2 linked regions of the Oreochromis niloticus genome follow. The protein of the gene in region 1 interacts with the protein of each later gene in a pairwise test. Links are inferred from orthologs where the notes say so. Each region holds a gene or a part of one and is shown on either strand. Other genes may lie near its edges.

Region 1 (11,066 bases):
TGTTGGTTAGCATGTTCCAGCTGCTTCTGCAGGGGTATTCCTGCTCCAGGGATGTATCCTGCAGAAGATGGTCAGGTTACTTTACAACTCTGAATTTTATGTAGATCGTGGAATTAGACATAGGTATAATTTACAGCAGTGAAACCCACCTTGCTGGGAGGTGAAGTGAACAGGGTAACCAGCCTGCTGGTGAGGGAGGTACTGCATTGCTTGAAATGCAGATGCGCCTGTGGGGAAAAAGGCAAAGTCATTACAATCAATACATCTCACTGTGATCTGATTGTTTTAATGATCAATCAGCGGGTTTCCGACATTACTGACGCCACACGGGAGCATCTGAATAGCATACCGCTGACTCCACGGTGCATCCACATTTGAAAAATGCAAGCTTAAAGAAAAATGACTTCGCACTCAGTGGGGGATTTTATTTTTCGGCTGAAATCAGGCTGCTTTGAACAAACGAAAGCTGTCGGCTGGACTGTCAGTTTAGAGCTTAGACTGTTTGAGCGGAGAGTTTCAAACTGTGCGAGAAATGATTTCATAGTTGATTTGTATAAACACGATGTACACGTCTATGTCAATCAAAATCAACTAAGACTGGTGGTACCTGTGGGCTGAGATGGGCTCAGCCTACTCAAACATGCATCTTGCTCAACAAAAGCATTTCTCTTTATGCCAATGAACACATATTAAAATACCAGCACTGTTTCTAACTTCTGATTGGTTGGACAGTCTTTCCTTTCTCTTCAAATTCAAACACCCACAGGGCTCTGAAGCAGGCCCAGAATGAAGCTTGATGACTCAGACTACACACAGACACACACATACATGATCTACTGCTTACCAGAGGTCACACACTCACACACATAATGTTCTCTGAACCATATATGGACTCAATTACATGTATTAGTTTAACTTTAGCTATATTTATGTGTATCATGCTTATTACTGTCAAGACTCTGATAAGGATATAGCCTTAAAACTACTAGAATGCCTTCCTTAACCTTTGAATAATGGCTATACCCTCCCTCTGGACTGCCCAACTATACTTCAACAAGCCCAGCCTGACACAGCAGCCTGCAACCGGCTCAGATTGTATTCTATGTCAGCTCCTGAAATCCAAGTAAAGATGGAGGAATCCCACACATGATGCTGATAATTCATTTCTTTGTGAGTTCACTGTGCCACTAGAGAACATTGTTTGAACATTAAAGGACAAAATGACCTCTTACACAATTACAACTAGTGTATAACACATTTGTGTTTGTGAACTGTGACGCACAAACAGCGTGGTACTGTGCTCTGCTGTTTTACACCTTCACCTAATGTGCATCTTATTTCACTCCCTCGTTTCCTGTTTCTTCCTGTCTTATACAGTTTTTTTTTATCGTGTATATGACTGGATGTAAGTCATGTCACTGTGACACATTACTCAAAATTTTACTGTACCACTGTACACATTGACAGCAAAGAAATCTTATCTCATCTTACCTCTGATCTGAGAGCTGCTTGCGAAACTGACTGGCACTGAGGGTCCGGGGGCGTAGCTGGAAGGATGCTGAGCCTGAGCCACTCCGTAGGGCTCATGGACCCCCTGACCTCCGCTGAACTGGCCATGCTCTGCGGAGCCTGAGCTGAAGCCAGGCGTCTGATAATGGCGTGCCTAAAAGAGGACAACGTGCACATGTAAACACTGTAAGAAGCATATTATATAGATCGTATTATATTTTATGAATTCTTTAAGTGGAACACTCCTTTTACTCACAGGGAGGACAGCAGCTGGGAACAGCTGTTTGCTCCTTTCTCCGAGCAGTGGGGCAGGTCTGCTGTGGCTGACTGGATTGCCTGAAGGAGAGAAAAGGAGAATGTCACTATATGAAAAATAATGACGACTCTGGCAAGGCGCAGAACCTGGAACTTTTCTCGCCTTGAATGCCGAGGAGGTGCTGTCCTGGGTGCATGGGCAGACTCTGCTGGTAGCTCGCTGATGTCAAAGTTGTAATATCACTAAAGAAGGAGACCAAAAAGATTAACCGACAATTAACAATCCTCTGACAAAACAACAAACTAAGTGAAGTACATATAGAAACCTCTGCTCTTTTCTTCGTCTTTTCTCCTCTTCGTGGAGAACTTTCTTGAGCTGTAAAAAGAGCTGATGTTTCTCTTCTTGTAGTCCCTGAAGTTTTTCCCCCATCTTCATCACCTGATGTTTATTTGAGGAAATCATGGTGTAAGAACACACAGACTTTGTTTTGTATAGAGCTGGGAGCACAGACTAGCTGAAATGTCACATTTCAAACCTGTTCTTTTGTTTCCTCCAAGGACATCCTCTCCTCTATCTCTTTTGTCCTCTTCCTCTCTTCCTCTTCCTTCATCTTCTGCTCCATCATTTTGTCCACCTCTTCCTCCTCTGAAAAAAAGTACATTTATTAAGGTGAGTATAATGTAGCTACTTTTTTTTGATTGCCTTTTAGATCTATGACCAAAGAACAGGTTGCAGGCAGACAGCTATAACATATACACTCACCAGCCACTTTTTTAGGTACATTTTGCTACTATAGGGTTGAACCCCTTTATTCCTTTAAAACTGTCTTAATTCTTCACTGGACATATTCAACGATGTGCTGTAAACATTCCTCAGAAATGATCCATGTTGACATGGCACATCACACAGCTGCTGCACATTCATGATGTGAATCTCTTGTTCCACCGCATCCCAAGGTGCTCTATTAAATTCAGATCTGGTGACTGTGGATGTAGTTTAACTACAGTGAACTCACTGTCATGTTCAAGAAACCAGTTTCAATTTGATTTGAGTTTTGAGACATGGTGTGCTATCCTGCTGGAAGCAGACGCACATGTTCATCAACAATACTAGGGCTGACGACTCTTAATTTGTCCTAAGAGGTCCACCGTGTTCCAAGAGAAAAATCACCATATCATTGCACCATTGATACAAAGCAGGATGGAATCATACTCTTATGCCGTTTACACCTAAAAGTGAGCCTACCATCTGAATATTGCAGTGGAAACTGACACTCATCAGACCGGCAAATGTTTTGTTTTGTTTTTTGTCAATCTTCTATTGCAAAATTTTGGTGAGCCTGTGCAAACTGTAGCTTCAGTTTCCTGTTCTTAGCTGATAGGAGCGGTGCCCTGTGCTGCTTTAACCCATCTGCTTCATGGTTTGACGTGTTGTGCATTCAGTGACACCTTGGTTGTAATATAGTTCGAGCAAAGTCATTTAAATCACATTTTTTCCTCATTCTGATGCTCAATTTGAACTTTAGTGGGTCGTCTTGACCATGTCGATATGGTAAATGCACTGGATGATTATGTATTTGTACCTAACAAACTAGCAGGTGAGTGTATTATTACATAGTAAATCACAATCATGGATGGATAAATGCAGAGAGGAATTTCCCCACGGGGATCAATAAAGTATACATTATTATTATAGATTATTTGAAGAATACACGCATAAACATAGGACTTTAATCTAGATGACGCAGACCTTAGTGAAATTTTCCAGAATTACAAAGAAAGAACAAGAAAAGTTAATTAATTTGTTTTATTGGCTAAATGCTAAAAACAATTTATACTCTGGAGCAGCGGTCCCCAACCCCCGGGCCTCGGACCGGTACCGGTCCGTGAGTCGTTCGGTACCGGGCCGCGAGAGTTGAGGTTCAGGTGTGAAATGTATGGTTTTCAGGGTTTTTATCGGTTTTCAGCGTTATTTTGTTATTGTTTTTATCGTTAACTCGGTTTTCCTGGGTCTTTTCACGTGTGTTATGAATAAATCTTCTTTTTTTCGGTACCGGCACTAGTTTTATTTTGTTGTATTCATCCGCGACACCTCATTGCCGGTCCGTGAAAATATTGTCGGGCATAAACCGGTCCGTGGCGCAAAAAAGGTTGGGGACCGCTGCTCTGGAGTATTACCTTTCCAAACACAGCTCAGCATCTTAACAGTGCTTGCTTATTTCTACAAGAATCCTTAAAGGTGTCAGATGTGACACCCTGTGACACACTAGGGCTAAACTACTTTTTAAAGCGCATACACACACACACACACACACACAAAATGAGAGAGCACCTTGTCTCTTGCGCTCTCTTTCCCTCATTATGTGTTTGTGGAGAGCTCTGGCCATCGCGTTGGACAGCTTGGGTCTCTCAAGCAGGGCGGGCATTGTGACAGGCAGTGGAGGGGCCAGCTGGTGTGGGTCAAAATGTCAGTAATGAATCGACAAGGTCAGATGAAATATTTAAAGTTCATTAAACTACATCAAAGTGTGCATCTACGCTCACCCAAACAGGTGTAACAACCACAGGCCTCGCTAGCTAGCCGATATCGGCCTAAGTTAGCACAGATAGCTGTACTTCCCAATACATGACAATATTTAGAGTATAATGCACCAACGGAAGGCATAGTAATTTAATATTACAAGTGATGTAGCTTACAAGTGTAAACCCCTGACAAAAATTATATATTTTAACTTAACCGGGAACAAACGTTAGCTAGCGAGGCTAGCTGCAGAGCACTTAACTGCGTTACGCATTTTATCCTACATGATCTGCTTTGAATTCTGTGCTGATAAAACTGTAAAAAGCTTACTTTTATTTCGTTGTGAGTCTTTTAATAAGAATCTAACCGTCTGGCGGTTTTCAGCTTGATAGACCTCGAGCGGTTAAAACAGATAAAAATCAAAACTTCTCCCACAAAACATAAACAGACGGAGCGATTTCCAGACCGGGGATGCTGTTGCATTTCCGGTTCAAAGAACGCGGTCACGCTTCGAAGTGCACTTTGGGAGTTGTAGTTTTGAAGTGCAATGCGGCGAATCTCACGTTGACGTCAGCAAAATGAAACTTCCAAGCAGTTTTGTGTATGTCGTGTTTTCTTTCCTTGATGCTTGATTTGACAGTTTTACAGTTCAAATATTTGATTTCCTATCAAGGGAATGACTTAGGAAACACCAAAGCTTCCTTGTGCCGAATGTGGGCTAACCACTTTGATTTCATTGGCAAAACATGAGTAATTTCCTCATTAATTACAACAGTAAATTACATGTTCCACTTGTCTTTTTTTCTTTTATACTTACATTACATACTACCTTCTTTGTTATTTGCTACTTACACAGAACTGTTCAACTATTAGAGCACTCAAAGCACTTTCTAACTGCAAGTCTCATTCACCCAAACACTTTTCTTTTCATGAATGTACTGAGGTCAAATTGGGTTTTAGTATCTTGGCTAAACATACTTTGACTTGTAGGCTAGAGAAGCCAGGGATCAAACTACCAACTCTCTGATTAGTAGAAAACCTGCTCTACCAACTGAGCCACATCAGAGCTTCCTTCCCGTTTTTTTTTTTGTATGTCCCTGTCCTACCAGTCTACTTTTGTAACGCCTTAAAGAAAGCAGGTGGAGGAAAGAATAGATGTTGGAGTCAAATGGCTTCCTTGCATATAACAAAAATTATAAACATACACGTGGACATGCATGACTTTGCGAGTCAGATTATCAGTGCAGCAACAGAAGCTGATATGATAAAACAACCCACGCAACCAGAAAAAAAAAACAAACTAAATCACAGGTTCATGTTTTTGTAACTTTTGTAACTCCCTTGAAGCGCACAGTGTCAAATTAACCAATGTAACGTTTCATTACATTGAAAGGCACAACTCACGTGGCTAAAAAAATAAAAGTGTAATTATTTGTTACTCTGTAGCAAAGGGACAAAAAAGACAAACAGCAGATAGTATTTCATCACATTTTATTATGTATGGTCATGAATAGAGAGAAAGAGCCAGTAACGCAGCTGTATACAGAGTTCAAATTGTAATTTTTTTTTTCTTACAAAAAAAAACAAACCCTTAAAAAAAAGAGAAGAAAAAAAATTGCACTCAGCTTTACACAACCCTTAGAAAGTAAGCCATCTAAAAATTAACAACAATAACAACAATAATCATTAGCAGTCAACATAATAGTCTTACCACTTAAAGCAGAGGATGATAATTTAGTCTGAATTCTATTATACTCCTTGCTAAGGTCCAATGCAGGGCAGCAAGCTAAATTCTCCTTAACATGCTTTAAATAAATTTTGCCACTTTAGTTTGTTTTTTCCTAGTGAAAGAGTTCTCTTTCCCTTTCATTTCTCAGCCTAAGCTCAAACTAACACAAATGGAAAAAAAAAGAAAAAAAAAAAAGGCCTATTTCTAGTATTATTTCATTAATCTCTCTCATTGTTTTTAAGTAAAGTACAATCGGTTTGACACTAGAAATTGAACTGGCCATGAGACCACTTAGTTACTGTTGAAAAGAAAAGTGGGAGACAAATACAATTCAGACTGCAGAGTAATAAAGACAGAATTGGATGCAAGAGGGGTAATGTATGGGTGGTGAAAGTGCATTTGACATATTCACTCTGGGAACTGTAGGCTGCTGAGCTGGATTTAATATTTAAATGAATGAATGGATGTGGAGGTCTCAGAAAGGTGGGTAGTGGTTGAAGTGGGATCAGATTTCCCTTTGGCTGTCCCCATACACACTCTCATCACTGTAGGCAATGTAGAGGAAAAAGTCCTCTTCATGATGCTCCTGATGGAAGGGGAAAAAAGAAAAAACATGTTAGCGCAATATCAATAATGTAGGGAGAGGCTAAAGAGGAACAACCAAAGGCAACATGCTGGTTAAGCCATAATGTGAGAGCATGTGAGTGAGCAGGAAGCTTAACAGGACTCTTGCCTGGTACAACAATCCCATGGTAGCTGAGGTGGGTGGAATGACGTTGTTTACAAAGAAGAAGAGCGCATCCTCAGCTCGCAAGTGGATTCTTTTCCGGATGAGGAAGTAAAACTGTCCCACTGATGAAAGAGACAATATGTAATAGTAGAAATTTCAGATGTGACATTGCCACTCTAAAATAGAAGTAAACAACTTTTTATGCTCCAAGGCAATGTTTACCCGTCAGGTCAGAGGGGACAAGGTACTTCTTCTTGTCCAGATCTCCTATTCTGGCTTTGGGTGCTTTCTCCACAATTACCTAAAAGGTTAGAAAAACAAAAGAAAAAAAAGAAAAGAAAGAAAAAAAAAAAAAAAAAAAACACAACAGGTGTACAACATGTTTTTATTAGAAAGGCTGCAAGTGTAGAGGGTGAAATATGGTGTTCGCTTCATTGTCTCGGAAAAGGGATCTGAGAGTGTACCAAACTGTCAGTCAAGCGAGGCCGAGCATATCGAACCCAGACGAAGTGTTTAATATAACACAGATTATATTTCGAAAAAGTATTTCAGTGTTGGAAAGAACCTGGTATATTTACACCCCGGCTATCAGACGTGCCGTTTAATTTTTGAACGCCTTCCTTACTAAACCTCTTTAAGTCTCTCTCCAGTCTAAAAATAGGACTGGTAAAATATCACTTGCCCACACGGTAAACACTGACTCCACAATTAATCAGCGTTTTTGCCCCCTCTTTTTTTAAATGAATCAGCACCTGATGTGACATTTTTTTGTCAGTACCATTTTATGATGGTGAATGAGAGTTTGAATTCAAATGATCAGACAAAACACGACATCTGTGAATGTCATCTGGGTCTTTGGGAAGTTGTTATGGACTGTTTTCACCATTTAGTAACCAAATAGGTATTCAATTAATAGAGAAAATAAGCAGTGGGTAATTGACTACGATAGTTAATTGTTTGTTGTAGCCACAGAACAAGTTTATGGTAAACGACGACTGAAGGACTGTAAAACGAAAGCTTAAAAGTGATCACGATTGAAAGGCAAGTGAATTTCGTCACACTTTACAGGAAAAACCCAAAATCCCCACATTAAATCAGCTGATAGTTGTGACACAAAGGGTCTCGATAGGCCAGACTAACTGGGGAAAGCCTTTATGATTTATCTCCAAGAAGCTGGGCGACGTAAACAACCCCGTTTTGTTGACAGCATCTATTTTAAGGCGCTCTACTGCGTTTCAACATCCAGCTACAGACCACTAAAAGAGTCTGTGCACACCTGCATGTCTTCACCGTAACCACCGTTACAGTCATAACCACCATTATCTGGCCACCAATGATGATTCACGGAAGAATAACACGGAGATCACCTGCTGGCCTGCTCAAAGCGGCCGAAATTCCTACTTAACCTCTGCCGTTGTTAGCTACCATGTGTGGCGGTTACAACGTGGCAGTAAACAAACTAAGCAATACATTGTGTGGGTAAAATCTCACTACAATATCACATTTAGATATTAAGCTTACATTAGTAATAAAAATAAAACAGTGAGCATAACGACATTAGCCTGACAGCAGTATAACAGCAAGGCAACATAGCTAGCTGTCAAGGAGCTAACGTTAGCTACTTACTGGCACCCTGTCCGGATACTTCTTTCTTATTTTCTCGCCTTCGGACCGCCTCTTCTCAAAGGGATGCTCTTCTTTGTACTGAAACTTCATCTTTAAAAGAGATGACAGACAACAAGTCGGTCACTCCGCGGTGGTACGGGTTGCTTAAGAAGTGACTCGAATCGCGGACACACAAACACAAACGATGCTAACTAGCCTTAGCCTCGCCACAGCTGTTTTCCTAGTGCGACTGCAGCGGAGGGATACAATAACAAGATGACGTAGAGGAAAGGGTAGTTCGCAGGGGCGTACCTCACCTTGTTTTAAACCCTGTTAACGTCGACTGTGTGATGATAATCGACGCGTATTCAAGAAAAAAATAATAACAATCTTGAAATAAACAGTATACGAAGGGCTTACGAATCAACGTTGCCTTTCTTTCTTTTTCTTTTCTTTTACGTGGAACTATTTTATGTTTTATCAGCCGCTGCGCATAAAGACGCTGGGCAGGGCACTGAGGAGGGATCTGTCCTTGTCATATGACCGAGGCCCAGCAGTCTGTGGTTGGGGGGGAGAAACTGAAAAACATGCGACATTTCATTGTGCTACGGGTTTCGCTGATGCACGGTGATAAACCCTGAACCAAACACGTTTATCACATTTCTGCAGCATGTTGGATTATTTTATGTAAGCATAAGTTACTGCGTATTTAATGGTGAACACAGTGCCTACTAAGTTTCCTCTAATTACTCGGGGTTTACGACTCATTACACCATAACAGACGAAAGCAGCAAATAATCAGGAGTTTTATCATTTATGCAAATTGTTGCTAAATGCTGTTTTTAGGATAACTTTATGTGTAACTATGGGAATTTACTGGGTTATTTTATTCATAAGTTTATATATTAAAAAAGAGTTTAATTTTTAAGTTTTGACATGAACACATTTGGTAAACAAACTGTGCCTCCAAAGCTGCCACTCATACATCCTGAAACACTCAGGAAAAGTTACTCACCTGCCTATTGCGCATATGACCCACAGGTCTGTGAGTCACATCCATGTGACATCCTTTTGGTTCAAAACCTCATGATCTTCCTTTTGTGCACAGTGATGAGACAGATTGCATATATCTAAAAATTACAACACATATTTCTGTTAAAGTGAAACAACCCTCTCCTGCTTCAGACCAGAACGTTGGCTGATAATTTTAATATTGTCTCTTGTTTTCTTTATTGGTTATACATTTTTTTGGTTGTATTTTTTCCCCCTTTGTGTTCTAGATTTCAGTCTCATGGCTCTTTCACAGCAGGAACTTTAAGAATTAAAGTGTATACTCAGCTGATGACAAACACTGACTGATCTACATTAAACATGATATTCTTTTTTTTTTTTTTGCCTCTCCCACTCGGCACTGTAGCAATTAGAATGATTGTCTGAAGGCCAAGAAAAATGCCTAACGGATTTATTTTTCCAAGTGGATCATTATGGCTTTGCCGTGGTCCATTTGATTGATCTTTATTATTATTAATTATATTATTTTATTTTTTAATTTATTTTTAACTTTTAAGTTATTACAAACGGAAGAGAGATGGCTGGAGGATAGGAAAGGGAAAGAACTAGACAAGAGAAGTTCAAGAAAAGGAGAGAGGAAGAGGGACAGTGAAAAAAAAGACACTAAAAAAATCAGCTGGATTACCTGCTGGAAGAAAAAAAAGAAAACAAGCAAAAGCAGCCACTGGGAGTGAGCCAGTACATACTCGAGCACCCAGCCCTGGATACCGTGAACCACCAAAGCACCGATGGCTGAGGGCATCAGCCACTGGCAGGGAGTGTGGTGGAGGGAGATAGACCCCCACACCTGGGGGGGCCTGAGATGTTCCCAGAGAGGTGGAGTCTAAGACCCGACCTGACACATAGACAAACATGCATTCCCATCCTCATGCACACATATGCAAATACTCAGCACTCGCCCAATGTGAAGACAAACAGAAATGAACACTGTACACACACTCACATCCCCCAGGTCCAGGTACAATCACCCCCAAAGGGGCAATCCGCCCCCAGGCCCTGGAGATGTTGCACTTTGCTCTGGGGTGGAGACAAGCAGACCGCCCCCAGTCCTGCAGCAGCAGGGAGGCCAAGCATCCCAGACCCCAACCAAACAGCTAACTCTTCCCCCCGGCCCCCCACCCCCAATGGTGAACAGAGAACAGGGGTGTGAGATTGATAACATGATAGATTCTTCTTGGAGTGAGCTCGCAAAGGAATCCGCTCGATTTGCAAGGTGGATGAAAGCAAGGCAGGTTTAAAGGGGAACCTATTACAGTTTTCCTAATTTTCTATCACATGTACATGCGTCACTTTATTAGGTGTCTCAATTCTTCGTGGCACAGATTCAACAAGTTGTTGGAAAAATTTCTCAAAGATTTTGGTCCATGTCGGCGTGATCACACAGCATTACAGTTGCTGCAGCTTTGCACATCCATGATGTGAATCTCCTACTTCACCACATCCCAAACGTGCTTATTGGACTGCGATACGGTGACTGTGGAGGTCATTAGACTAAAGCAAACTTACCTTCAAGAAACCACTTTAATATGATTTAAAGTTTGTGACATGGTGTGTTATCCTGCTGGAAGCAGCCATCAGAAGATGCGTGCACTAGTCAAAAGCGATTGACATGCTCAGCAACAATCATCAGGTAGGCTGTGGTGTTT
Region 2 (10,047 bases), on another chromosome or scaffold:
ATAAACTGCCCCAAAAGTAACCAGTGCACAAGTGACTGAGTTAAGAGTCAGCACAAAACAAAGTGAAAATAAAATAAATACAATATTAGAACCACTTCTCACAGCCGCAGTAACAGGAGTCTGGAGCCACGCAGCTGTGTGGGGCTATACTTAGGGCAGAGCATTGCACTGCGAGAGACGCCAATATAAGCACAAGCAGCCTGCTGATAATGACCAGTACTTACAAGGTTAAGTTTTACAGGTATCCCACTACCGCCTCTATAGTTTAGCATAAGCACAAAGTGAAGCCGATGCTGATGTGAGCACAGTTTGTAAGGTGTTGCCCTGATGCCGATGTGTGGCCATGGATTTCCGTCATAAAATGATGAGCATGATGAAACATGATTGCAAGCAGATGTTATTTCCCCACAAGCAGGTATCCCAACACGCAAACTTAACAACTGCATGTGTAAAACTAAGCAAACAAAGCAGCCAACATATGCTGTTAGGCCCTCTCAAGTGCTAGGGGAAGTACTACCTGCTCTTGCGAGCAGCTGCTTGTGAATTTAAAAGTACACGTGGGAATCAACCTGATTTTTGACAGGCTGGAGATGGAAACTAAGAGAGTTTACACCACGTGTGACAGAAATCTAAAGCCAGAGCTTTGGATTAGGTGCCATCATTTCTCAAAAGCAAAACATGTATAATACTGCAAAAAATAACAGTGTTAGTCTCTGTGCTGTCTTCGTAAGGATATATGGAATATGTGCAGTGTTCACATGGAAAGTTGGAGCAGTGATGAAGGGAACCAAACCCCACTCTAATAATCTGAGGTTTACAAGAAATGCTTCTCAAATGCCGACCATTTGTTTAAAATGGCCCCAGATGGGGAAAATCCCAGCTTCACATGGGGCAAAATATGACTTTTTTTCATTTGAGGTACAAATCTTCAACATCCACAAACCCACTGCTCCGGAGAGAGCGGGTTTTAAGTGTAAAGTTAGCTGCAAGCTGAAGCAGAAGCAGCTGAGAGACTCACCTCAAAGCCCAGACGGTCTTTCTCCTTCCAGAAGCAGAAGTGTGTCACCTTCTTATCCCAGAATTCATCTGGCTTCACCACGCAGACCAGCGACACTTCAGGTGGGATCACATTCTGAAACAGCATCAACGCCATCATTAGCCCACTGCTTTTTAAAGAACACCCATAGCAGCCAATGCATTAATGCAGCTTAAGCCTGCGTTGTGCCTGCAGGGACTCTAAATGTGTTTCTACCTGCAACATGAGCACCACAGTCTTCACGGTGTTCCACTGAGACTTCCGTCCATCCACGATAACAGTGAAACCCCGAGCCTTACACTTCTCACTGGCACAGACAAAGAGAGAGAGTGTGTTACCAACAGCGCACCCACACCCCATCATTTACATACACAGTTTCCTGTTTGAGCATCATTTGGGTGGCCAGCTCACCAAGCTGTTGCTACCGAGGCTACTTTATGTTTTCTTCATCAGTACAAATAGTAACAAAAATAAAGCCTGAGACTATTTTTTTTATTTGTTTTATATGCTATTCACACATTCCCAGCATCGCGTATATTTCTGCTCCTCTTTCAAGTCCATCTATATACCGATTTGTCAGCTATAAGCAACCTACAGGAGCTTGAACAGCTCATCCAGCGTGTTTTGGAAGAAACGAAGCGTGAGCTGAAGAGGCCAGATATGGAAAATGGGACTGAATCACCTGTCGAGCTGCCAAGAATTACAGCTGTCAGATCGTGCTGGGGACGCTCAAAAAGGACGAGCTGAAAAATAGTAACACTTAATAAACTAGAATCATCCTTTAAGCTGGATTTCTACACTCGAGCCACAGGGTTCAGATCCAGCAGCTCCTCGCTGACAAGCCAAAACCCAAACATGTCTAAAAGCATTAAAAGTGAAATCCAACAGTCTCCGGGTGATAACACTGCTCTGGGACACACACCAGACTGTCCTCAGTCGTGTCTCTGTGTGTACCTTGGGATGCTAAGCAGGTAGTCCAGCGTGGCGCTAAGCTCCTCCATGCTGGTCTGATCTGAACTGAGAGGGATGGTCAGGATCAGACCACTGCGCCGGTCTTTGCCCCCTAAAGAGTGACAGGCAGACCGGTGGGAGAGGGGAGGAATCAGATTACAGCTCAAACAGCAGTGCTAACTGGGATGACCCCAGGATTGAGGAAACAGGTGTCGATATTTTATTTTAAATCGAAGTGTTTTACCTGACAAGAAGGCCAGTTTCTTCTTGAGAATGGGGAGGATGGTGGTCGCTTCCATTGTGACAGCAGACATCTGTAAACACACATGCAGACAGTTTTTCCTCCTTAAGTCTAAGGTATCCTTTCTTAAACTAAAAGCAGTCTGAGTAAGTGGAAACGAGGCCCACAGTTACACGTGATAGTCAATAAACTCCAACACTAGACCACAGTTTTCAAACCTGCACGATCAGATGTTGGCCCACAGGCTCACACTTTAATCCACAGCTCTCTGAGGGGCTTGACCAGAATGTGAATGCGCAGTAACTACACAGAAATCCCACAGCTATCGAGGGTACAGCGTCCTTGCAAGTCAGTGCAGGAGCACAACAGCCATAGGTGATAAAACACAGCTCCGGGGGTCGCTGCTAAAACGCTGCGTCCAGCTCCGAAGTGTCAGAGCAATATCAGCGGAGCAGCACTGTGATTTTCGTGTGCGGATTTTCTCTCAGCTGGCGCTTCTCCCGGCCGATTCAGATTCTTGGCTCCGGCCTCGGCCTGCGATTTACTGCCTGCCTCATCGGCATGTCAGCGTGGTTCAAGCAGTCAGCCAGTAAATCAGTCAGTTTGCATTTCTGTCAGCTTATCGGCCGACTTAACATCTGTGGTGATTTTTTTTAACCCCCACCCTTTCTACAGTTGTTGCATTGTTTCTCACACTCTCCTATTAAAGGCTGTGCTCCTTTAAAGAACCAGTCTGGGCTTTTCAGTTAATTACAGCACTGCTGGAGGACTTAATGTAGGCTCTACAGAAAAATGTCAAACTACTCCTTTTTTATTCCATCTCAGCGTTTTTGTAGATTTAGCTCCTTACCATCTAAGCTGCTTTCTGTTGCTTGTAATTTGAGACACAGCAATCACCCCCATGCAAGCCATAACACAGGCTTGCAACTCCTTTAATTTTAGTGTAGTGTTCGGATTCTGTATTCAGTTACACAGGCATGCTGAGTGCAATCATGCAATTCACATAGTGACCTTGACGTGATGTGGCACACAGACGTCATCTAGCTTCTAACTTGAAGTTATATTAAAGCTTTGTGTTTGCAGTATTCTTATTTTTGTCCTTACAGTGAGTCATGTCGATCTGGTGTCTGGAGAGCTGTGGGGTTCTTACTTTATTACATTTGATCACAGTTCTGATGACTAGTTGAAGATTTTGTAAAGGAAGTTTTCTTTCAGTCACTACATATTTTATCATTTTAACCTCTTTCTTAAAAAGTATAAACTCATGCTCCACTATCTTCTGTTTCTGTTCTACTCCTCTGCTAAACTTTGCGTCACATTTATGATTTGGCACAAAGGTGTTCATTGTGCTATTTGCAGCAGATGTAGTATTAGTTAGATTAAGTGATTTGGTCCCTGCAGCACCAGTCTGTGTCCACCTCCTCCCCCTGGTGCTGCTGCTGCTGCTGCTGATGGGGCTTCACCTTCGTTCTCCTGCGGCTTATCCGGCCCAGCTCGGTGTGTCTCGGCTTGGTTCGGCTCGGCCCACAGACACAATGACCTACATTCACAGCTGCAGACTGCGGCTGCTGCAGCCGTAACCTCCCCTTCACCGCAAACCTCGACCCGCCCAGCCTCGGCAGCTCCGGGATCCACAACAGTAGCTATTGATCCCGCACGTTTTCTTACCTTTTCAGTCAAATCTGCGGCATTTTTCCCTGTCCCGATTTTTTTCCTCCTCCTAGTCCCCCCTCCTCTTCTCCTCTGTCGCTTCTTCTCCTCTGCAGTTTTTCCCTTCTTCCTCTCGCTTCCCTCCTCCTCCTATTCTGTGTCCTCTCGGGCGGATTTATCAGCAGATAGTGAATCTGTTCTCCATGAAAAACACCGAGGAGCTCAGCGGGCTCACAGTACGCTTTCAACAACGCTGCAGTCCTGCTCCAAACACACACTCTCACAAGGCAGGCGTTGGAGCTGGCTGTTGTGCGCAGCCTCAGTGTAGCCAAATTAAGAACGCGACTTCCGGTGAAAACGACTTTCCAAATAAATGCCTGGAGGAACAATTTCTCACCACATTACAGAGGAGCCAATGTTTAGTTATGCATTACTTATCACATTTATTTACAACCACGATTTGCACACTTTTGCCCCCTTGTTTTTTGTTTTGTTTTTTTCAGAAACCTTGGAAATAGTTTGTGTGTGTGTGTGTGTGTGTGTGTGTGTGTGTGCGTGCGTGTGTAAAGTTTTATTTTCCCCACTTCCTCAGTATTCATTTTACATCAGGGCACACACGTGGCCACTTTGCTAAATAGATAAATATAAATACAAACATAAATATGATGATATATGATAAATGTGTAAGAGTACAGAAAAGTAGTTCAGTGCAAAGAATGCCATGTCTTGTAATTATAAAATATCAACTTTTTCTTAATTGACAAAAAAATTCCTTGAAAAAACAAACAAACAAAACTATGGACTCACTGTAATAGTGGGAAAAGAGGAAGTTTAATTTAATTGTTTATCTGTGAATTATTACATTGGTGTAGTAGAAATTCTAGTCTGGCACCCATCCTCTGTGGGAGGTTTAGTTTTGTATTTATTATTGTTATTATTATCATTATCATTATTATTATTATTATTATTAATTATTTAATTCATTTTGATTTTTTTTTGAAAATTAATTTTAGTTTCATTTCATTTGCAGAGTGGATTTTCTTGTTTTACTTTAATTTTTATTGATTGACAAGCTCTAGTTTTATTTGAGCTTTCATTAGTTTCAGTGTTGGTTTTAGTCTAATTTTTATTGTATGGATGGCATGTGTTTTTAGTTTTAATAACTATAACAACCTTGGTTTACATATATTACACATTCCATATAATGAAATGTGCTATTTAAAGAAAACTGTAATTTTCTTTGCTTATTTCAGCTCACCAAAAATCAAAAATGTGAAATTTTTTGTTTCAGTGAGTGTAGTTTCAAACCAGACAAAACTAGAAATTCAGAGTCAGTGTGAAGCCACTTTTGATTTTCTCACTGATTTATTTAACCACACATAAGCATACTAAGAAATACAAGATAGAGAGAAAGAGAAAGTACACACAACAAGTCACATTTTTTTCTCATTGCACACCAAACCAAATCAGAGGATTTTATTATTAATATTACTGTTCTTATCTTCATCTCTATTATTGTTATTTTTATTATGTAACCACCAACAATCCAAAGCATCGGTAACCAATGCAAGCACTCCACCCTCACGTCTTATATGGTAACTCCTGAATCAAAGTCTTTTTATTTCATCACAAATGATATAAAAAAATTTGTAAGTTTTAAACACAAATTTAAAATTGTATAATCCAAGCATGGCAACTGCTCACACGACTTAAATTCAAGTTCATTTCAAATTTAAAAAATTAAGTTTTTTTCTTTTTTTGTTTCACTTCCATATTCTTGCTCAGGCTGAAGTGTTTTTGTGGTGATTTCTGCTGCGGCCTCACAACAAGAAGGTTCCTGGTCTTCCTGGTCTCATGACTGGGGCCTTTCTACATGATGAGGTAAAGCATCATGTAAAGCAAATTCAATCAAGACCTTTAAAAGGCAGTTGAGCATTTGATCTCAGACAGAGAAGTCTCGCTGACAGCTGGCTCCTGGACTCCAGGTGAATTCCCATCAACCTTTTGGTGACAGAGCCCTTTAAACTTGAACCTAGAAGCCAAATGAGGAGAGCTGCATCAGTTAGGCTATATTAAACAATGGATATTTGATATATATTTGCAACAATTGTTTTGTTTTTTCATTTCAGTTTTTTTTCACATTGTACCCGCCTTTATTTTTGATATTTCAAAATGAACTGTATATTTCTTATTCTGGTCTCATGACACAGACCTACCCACATAACACTTTAAGACTGTAGTACTGTAAACAATCAAACCAGATTTTCCTATTTATATATATTTTTTTACAATCCATTCATAGGATATCTATTATCTATTATTATATCTATATACGGTGCAGACATGAACACACCTAAATATACAACCTGCAAAAGCAGCATCACTAGCATAATCAATAGACAAGCTTACTTCTTAATGACTTGCATCTGGTCGATGGTATCAGGAAGCGGTTTTCCAAATGACTCCGGAAGGAAAAGGGAGACAAGGACACTGATGACTGACAGGGAACCCACAGTCAACCACGGCAGGAACTCGTAGAACACAGCTGCAGACAAAACCAGAGCCGATTATTCAGATACTTTCTCTGCTACAGACTTCTGTCATCATTGAGCTGCAGGTCAGTTTGTTAGATTTAGAGTTGAGAAGCTGTGCATTAAGGATGCTTTAGTCATTAAAGTGAACTAAAACTTCATCTCTACACACCGACATCTGTTGCATAAAAAAGGCATAAAGGTTCTGTGTATACTACAAAGTGCTCTATCCCAGAATAATCATCTTAGTATGATGTTTCCACAAAAGTAGGGACGCTTTGCAAACATGTAAATTAAAAACAGACCGCTATTAGGATCATTTAAAGCCTACAGGGCACTGAATAGAGCACAAGGACATCGTAACAAAAACATATTGAAACAGAATGAGTTGTTCAATTTTCCATCTGCTATTTTTTTAATGCACTGCACAACTTTCTCAATCATTTCTCGCTCTTGCCTCAAAACGGAGTTTAGCGAAGTTGTGAAATTTCACTTAATTTCAACATTTTTGATATACTGTCTTGGATTATTTGATTAATTTTGATTTTCATCATATCCCAATAGCTTTATTCTTTTCTCAGACCCAAGACAAGCAGAAAATGTTGGAGAGTAAGCTTAGGACATTTTTAATACGAGTATCCTCAGTTGTAACAGTTGTCCCAACTTTAACTTTCTTCTTCCTCTTTTATTCTTTTGTTGGGGGAGGGGGGGTGGGGGGGTGATTGTGATGCCAAATATCTCACCCAGCTGCAATAGGTATGGGGCGACAGAGGACCCCACTCTGGAGAATAAGGCAGCAGACGACAACATCGTGTTCCTGATGACTGTGGGAGACAGCTCTCCAGTGAGCAGGTGCAGGATCCCTTCGGAAGCCAGGACTCCAAATTTACCCATCAGCACCAGGGTGAGGGTGATGTTGTGATACTCTGAAGGGAGGAGAAGGACTTTAAGCTTATGAGGAGTGAAACAAGTTATTTTCAAACATTGGTGAGCAGGTTTACCTTCTCTCAAATAATCCATTAGCAGCTCTAATTAAGCATGGCAGGATATTTTGTCTATAAAGCTCATTTAGGGCAGCACCTCTGACAAAGTGGCTGTGTGTGTGAGGCCTTGTTGAAAAGGCTTATTGTGTTGATATTTTTCAACACAATCAACAGTTATATTCACTAAGAGAGCAAGAAAAGGACAGTGGTCTCACTTACTGTGCAGAGTGATCTGGATGAGGAAGAGTGGCAGCGCCCCCAGCAGGGAGAAGCCAATAAAGGACATGCGACGAGGAAAATATTTTGCGCTAAACCAGCTGACCAAGTGTGCTGGCATCTCCATTAATGACAGCAAGGCGTAGTTCAGAAAGGGGTTGCCATAGATAGTAGTCATATTGAATGATAATCCAAAGTAGCTCACATTCAAAGAAAACCTGCAAACAACAAGAGAACAAACAAACAATAAATAAAATGAATCCTGTTAGGATCGCTCAGAGGCTGCAATGTCAGTTATATCAATAGGCAGTTGTAAAACATGTCAGAGTCCCTGGGGTTCTGAGTTTTCTTTATATTTCTATTCTCTAGTTTTAGTTTCACATGTACTTCTGTGTGTGGTTTTAGTCTGGTTTATATTCAGTTCGTTGAGTTGCTGTGTATTCCCCTGTCTTTAGTCTCTTTTTATGTGTGTGGCCTTTGGCCTGCTGCAGAGGAGGGGTGACACAGTGAGCTCACAGGGCAGCGCAGAGGTGGAGAAGAGCAGGTCTGCTGAACTGGACTGATGAATTGCAACTCTTTTTATGTCTTGCAGTGAGACAGAGCAGGGAGAGTGACAGTTGCAGAGGAGTGCCTGTGTCCTGGGCAGAAGCCCGAAACCACAGTAATCACTACTGTCAATAAAAGCACTGCTAACCGACAAAGCTGAAGTGTCAATCCTTGGGTCCTGTTTCACGATGTGTTTTTTTACTTTCTGTGTGTTCTTTATGTTCAGTTGTCCTCACCTGTGTTGCTACTTGCTACCCCTCTCCGGTTCCTGCCCTGTTATTGTTTGGGATTTTTGCATTTTTTGTGTGAGCCAGCATTAAAGCTCCTTATTTTGAGTTCATGTTTTGTTTCCCAAGTCCTCCATTTGGGTCCACAACCTGCCCGCTACACAGCCAATACATGACAAAATGTAAGTTTGTTCTGAGCGCGATGGTAAAGGAAAGTTCACGGACTGTTTAAAGGGTTCATTCTCTGAAATTTATAGAGAGCAGAAATATTACTGCAGTAGGACGGCAAAATATGTGCTGATGGTGATGTCAGCATGTTAAATCATGGGATTAGTAGTTTTTACTGTGTCTTCATCTGGAGTCATAAACCTATCAATTATGTTATCGCTAAGTGAAAGGTTCATGGAGAAAGCTTTAACTCACCAGAGAAACCACACTACGAGTGTGATACTTCGAGTGGTCATGTTCCTCAGCAGACCCAGGTAACCAGAAACCTCAGGTTGCTGAGGTTGTTCAGATTGCTGAGATTGTTCAGGTTGTTCAGATTGCTGAGGTTGTTCGGGTTGCTGAGACTGTTCAGACTGTTGAGACTGTTCAATGTCCCACATAGAAAATTCATTGCATTAGCCAATGTAGTGTAGCGTGATACAAGTTGGACAAGGATAAGGCCAGAGGCTCTTACTTCTGCTGAGCGAAAGAGGTCAGATGGAAATTCCACTCCGTTCTCCAGAGCAGCAAATCTTAGCAGGAGTTCTGCTTCCTTAAAACGGCCTTTGGACAGTAGCCAGCGAGGAGATTCTGGAACCAGCCTGGTGGACAGACAGACACAAATGTGTAGTTTGTTACTAAAGTCAACATAGGTGGGAACTGAGGAAAAATACAAGAGCCTCCTGCTCCATCTATCTGTGTTTATTCATCAAGCTGATGCTGGAAAAGTTAGAATCTGGATGTGATGAGTTAGAAATTATCTGGATGCCACGATTGTCTTCTTTTGGCTGTCCCTGTCCAGGTAGCCACAGTGGATCATCTGAGCGCCATAATGATAACTGTAAAAATCTGTGAAAAATGTACTTTGCCAGAAGCCAAAGATTTTGATTTAACACTTTGTGCTTGACTGTGACTGCAGATACAACCTTTGGACTTTGATCATCGAATCTGACAAAACAGGTTCAACAATGTTCAGCTGGGAGGAGATCTATAGGTAGAACGGGAACTGGCATAAAAAATTATAAACTCCTTTCTGGGGTGGCTGTGGCTCAGGTGGTAGCGCAGATCAGCTATTGATTTGAAGGTTGGTGGTTCGATCCTTGGTTTCCCCAGTCCGCATGTCAAATATCTTTAGGCAAGATACTAACCCCAAGTTGCCCTCTGATGTGTTCATCGGAGTGTGAATGTAGAGTAGTTTGTTAGAAGTGTTTGTATGAGAGAGTGTGAATGAGGCATGTTGTATACAGTGCTTTGAGTACTCTGGGAGAGTAGAAAAGCACTATATAAGAATCAGTCCATCCTTCTTTTGTCTCAAGATCCCCCAAATGGAAGGAAAAGGGCATCTGAGGAAGTGGAACAAAATGATGGGTGGATGGATGGAGGCGCACATTTAGTTTACATTACCTTGACAAATTCCACAGTTACACAAATTCCTCAACAACCTTTTATATGCTAAAAA

Evidence for each region. The genes of interacting proteins can lie anywhere in the genome.
Region 2: the proteins of gps2 (region 1) and sestd1 interact in binary tests that used the Homo sapiens proteins (3 or more experiments, as listed by UniProt). The two-hybrid records come from large-scale screens. The link is inferred for Oreochromis niloticus from reciprocal best matches to the Homo sapiens genes GPS2 and SESTD1.

Annotation. Positions count from the first base shown.
Region 1 is NC_031967.2:15,820,378-15,831,443, reverse strand, and holds the start of gps2 (G protein pathway suppressor 2), read right to left. Parts: upstream 4,804-11,066; 5' UTR 4,616-4,803; intron 4,215-4,615; 5' UTR 4,191-4,214; coding exon 4,097-4,190; intron 2,411-4,096; coding exon 2,301-2,410; intron 2,204-2,300; coding exon 2,091-2,203; intron 2,008-2,090; coding exon 1,928-2,007; intron 1,846-1,927; coding exon 1,766-1,845; intron 1,664-1,765; coding exon 1,492-1,663; intron 228-1,491; coding exon 150-227; intron 59-149; coding exon 1-58. Other genes in the region: gabarapa (gamma-aminobutyric acid receptor-associated protein), read right to left, coding at 6,520-6,600, 6,748-6,866, 6,967-7,045, 8,371-8,460. UniProt on the Homo sapiens protein: Key regulator of inflammation, lipid metabolism and mitochondrion homeostasis that acts by inhibiting the activity of the ubiquitin-conjugating enzyme UBE2N/Ubc13, thereby inhibiting 'Lys-63'-linked ubiquitination.
Region 2 is NC_031987.2:24,163,712-24,173,758, reverse strand, and holds the start of sestd1 (SEC14 domain and spectrin repeat-containing protein 1), read right to left. Parts: upstream 4,225-10,047; 5' UTR 3,897-4,224; intron 2,302-3,896; coding exon 2,232-2,301; intron 2,100-2,231; coding exon 1,991-2,099; intron 1,344-1,990; coding exon 1,253-1,343; intron 1,133-1,252; coding exon 1,019-1,132; intron 1-1,018. Other genes in the region: solute carrier family 22 member 4, read right to left, coding at 5,796-5,910, 6,288-6,423, 7,153-7,335, 7,612-7,826, 8,805-8,971, 9,064-9,190. UniProt on the Homo sapiens protein: May act as the primary docking protein directing membrane turnover and assembly of the transient receptor potential channels TRPC4 and TRPC5.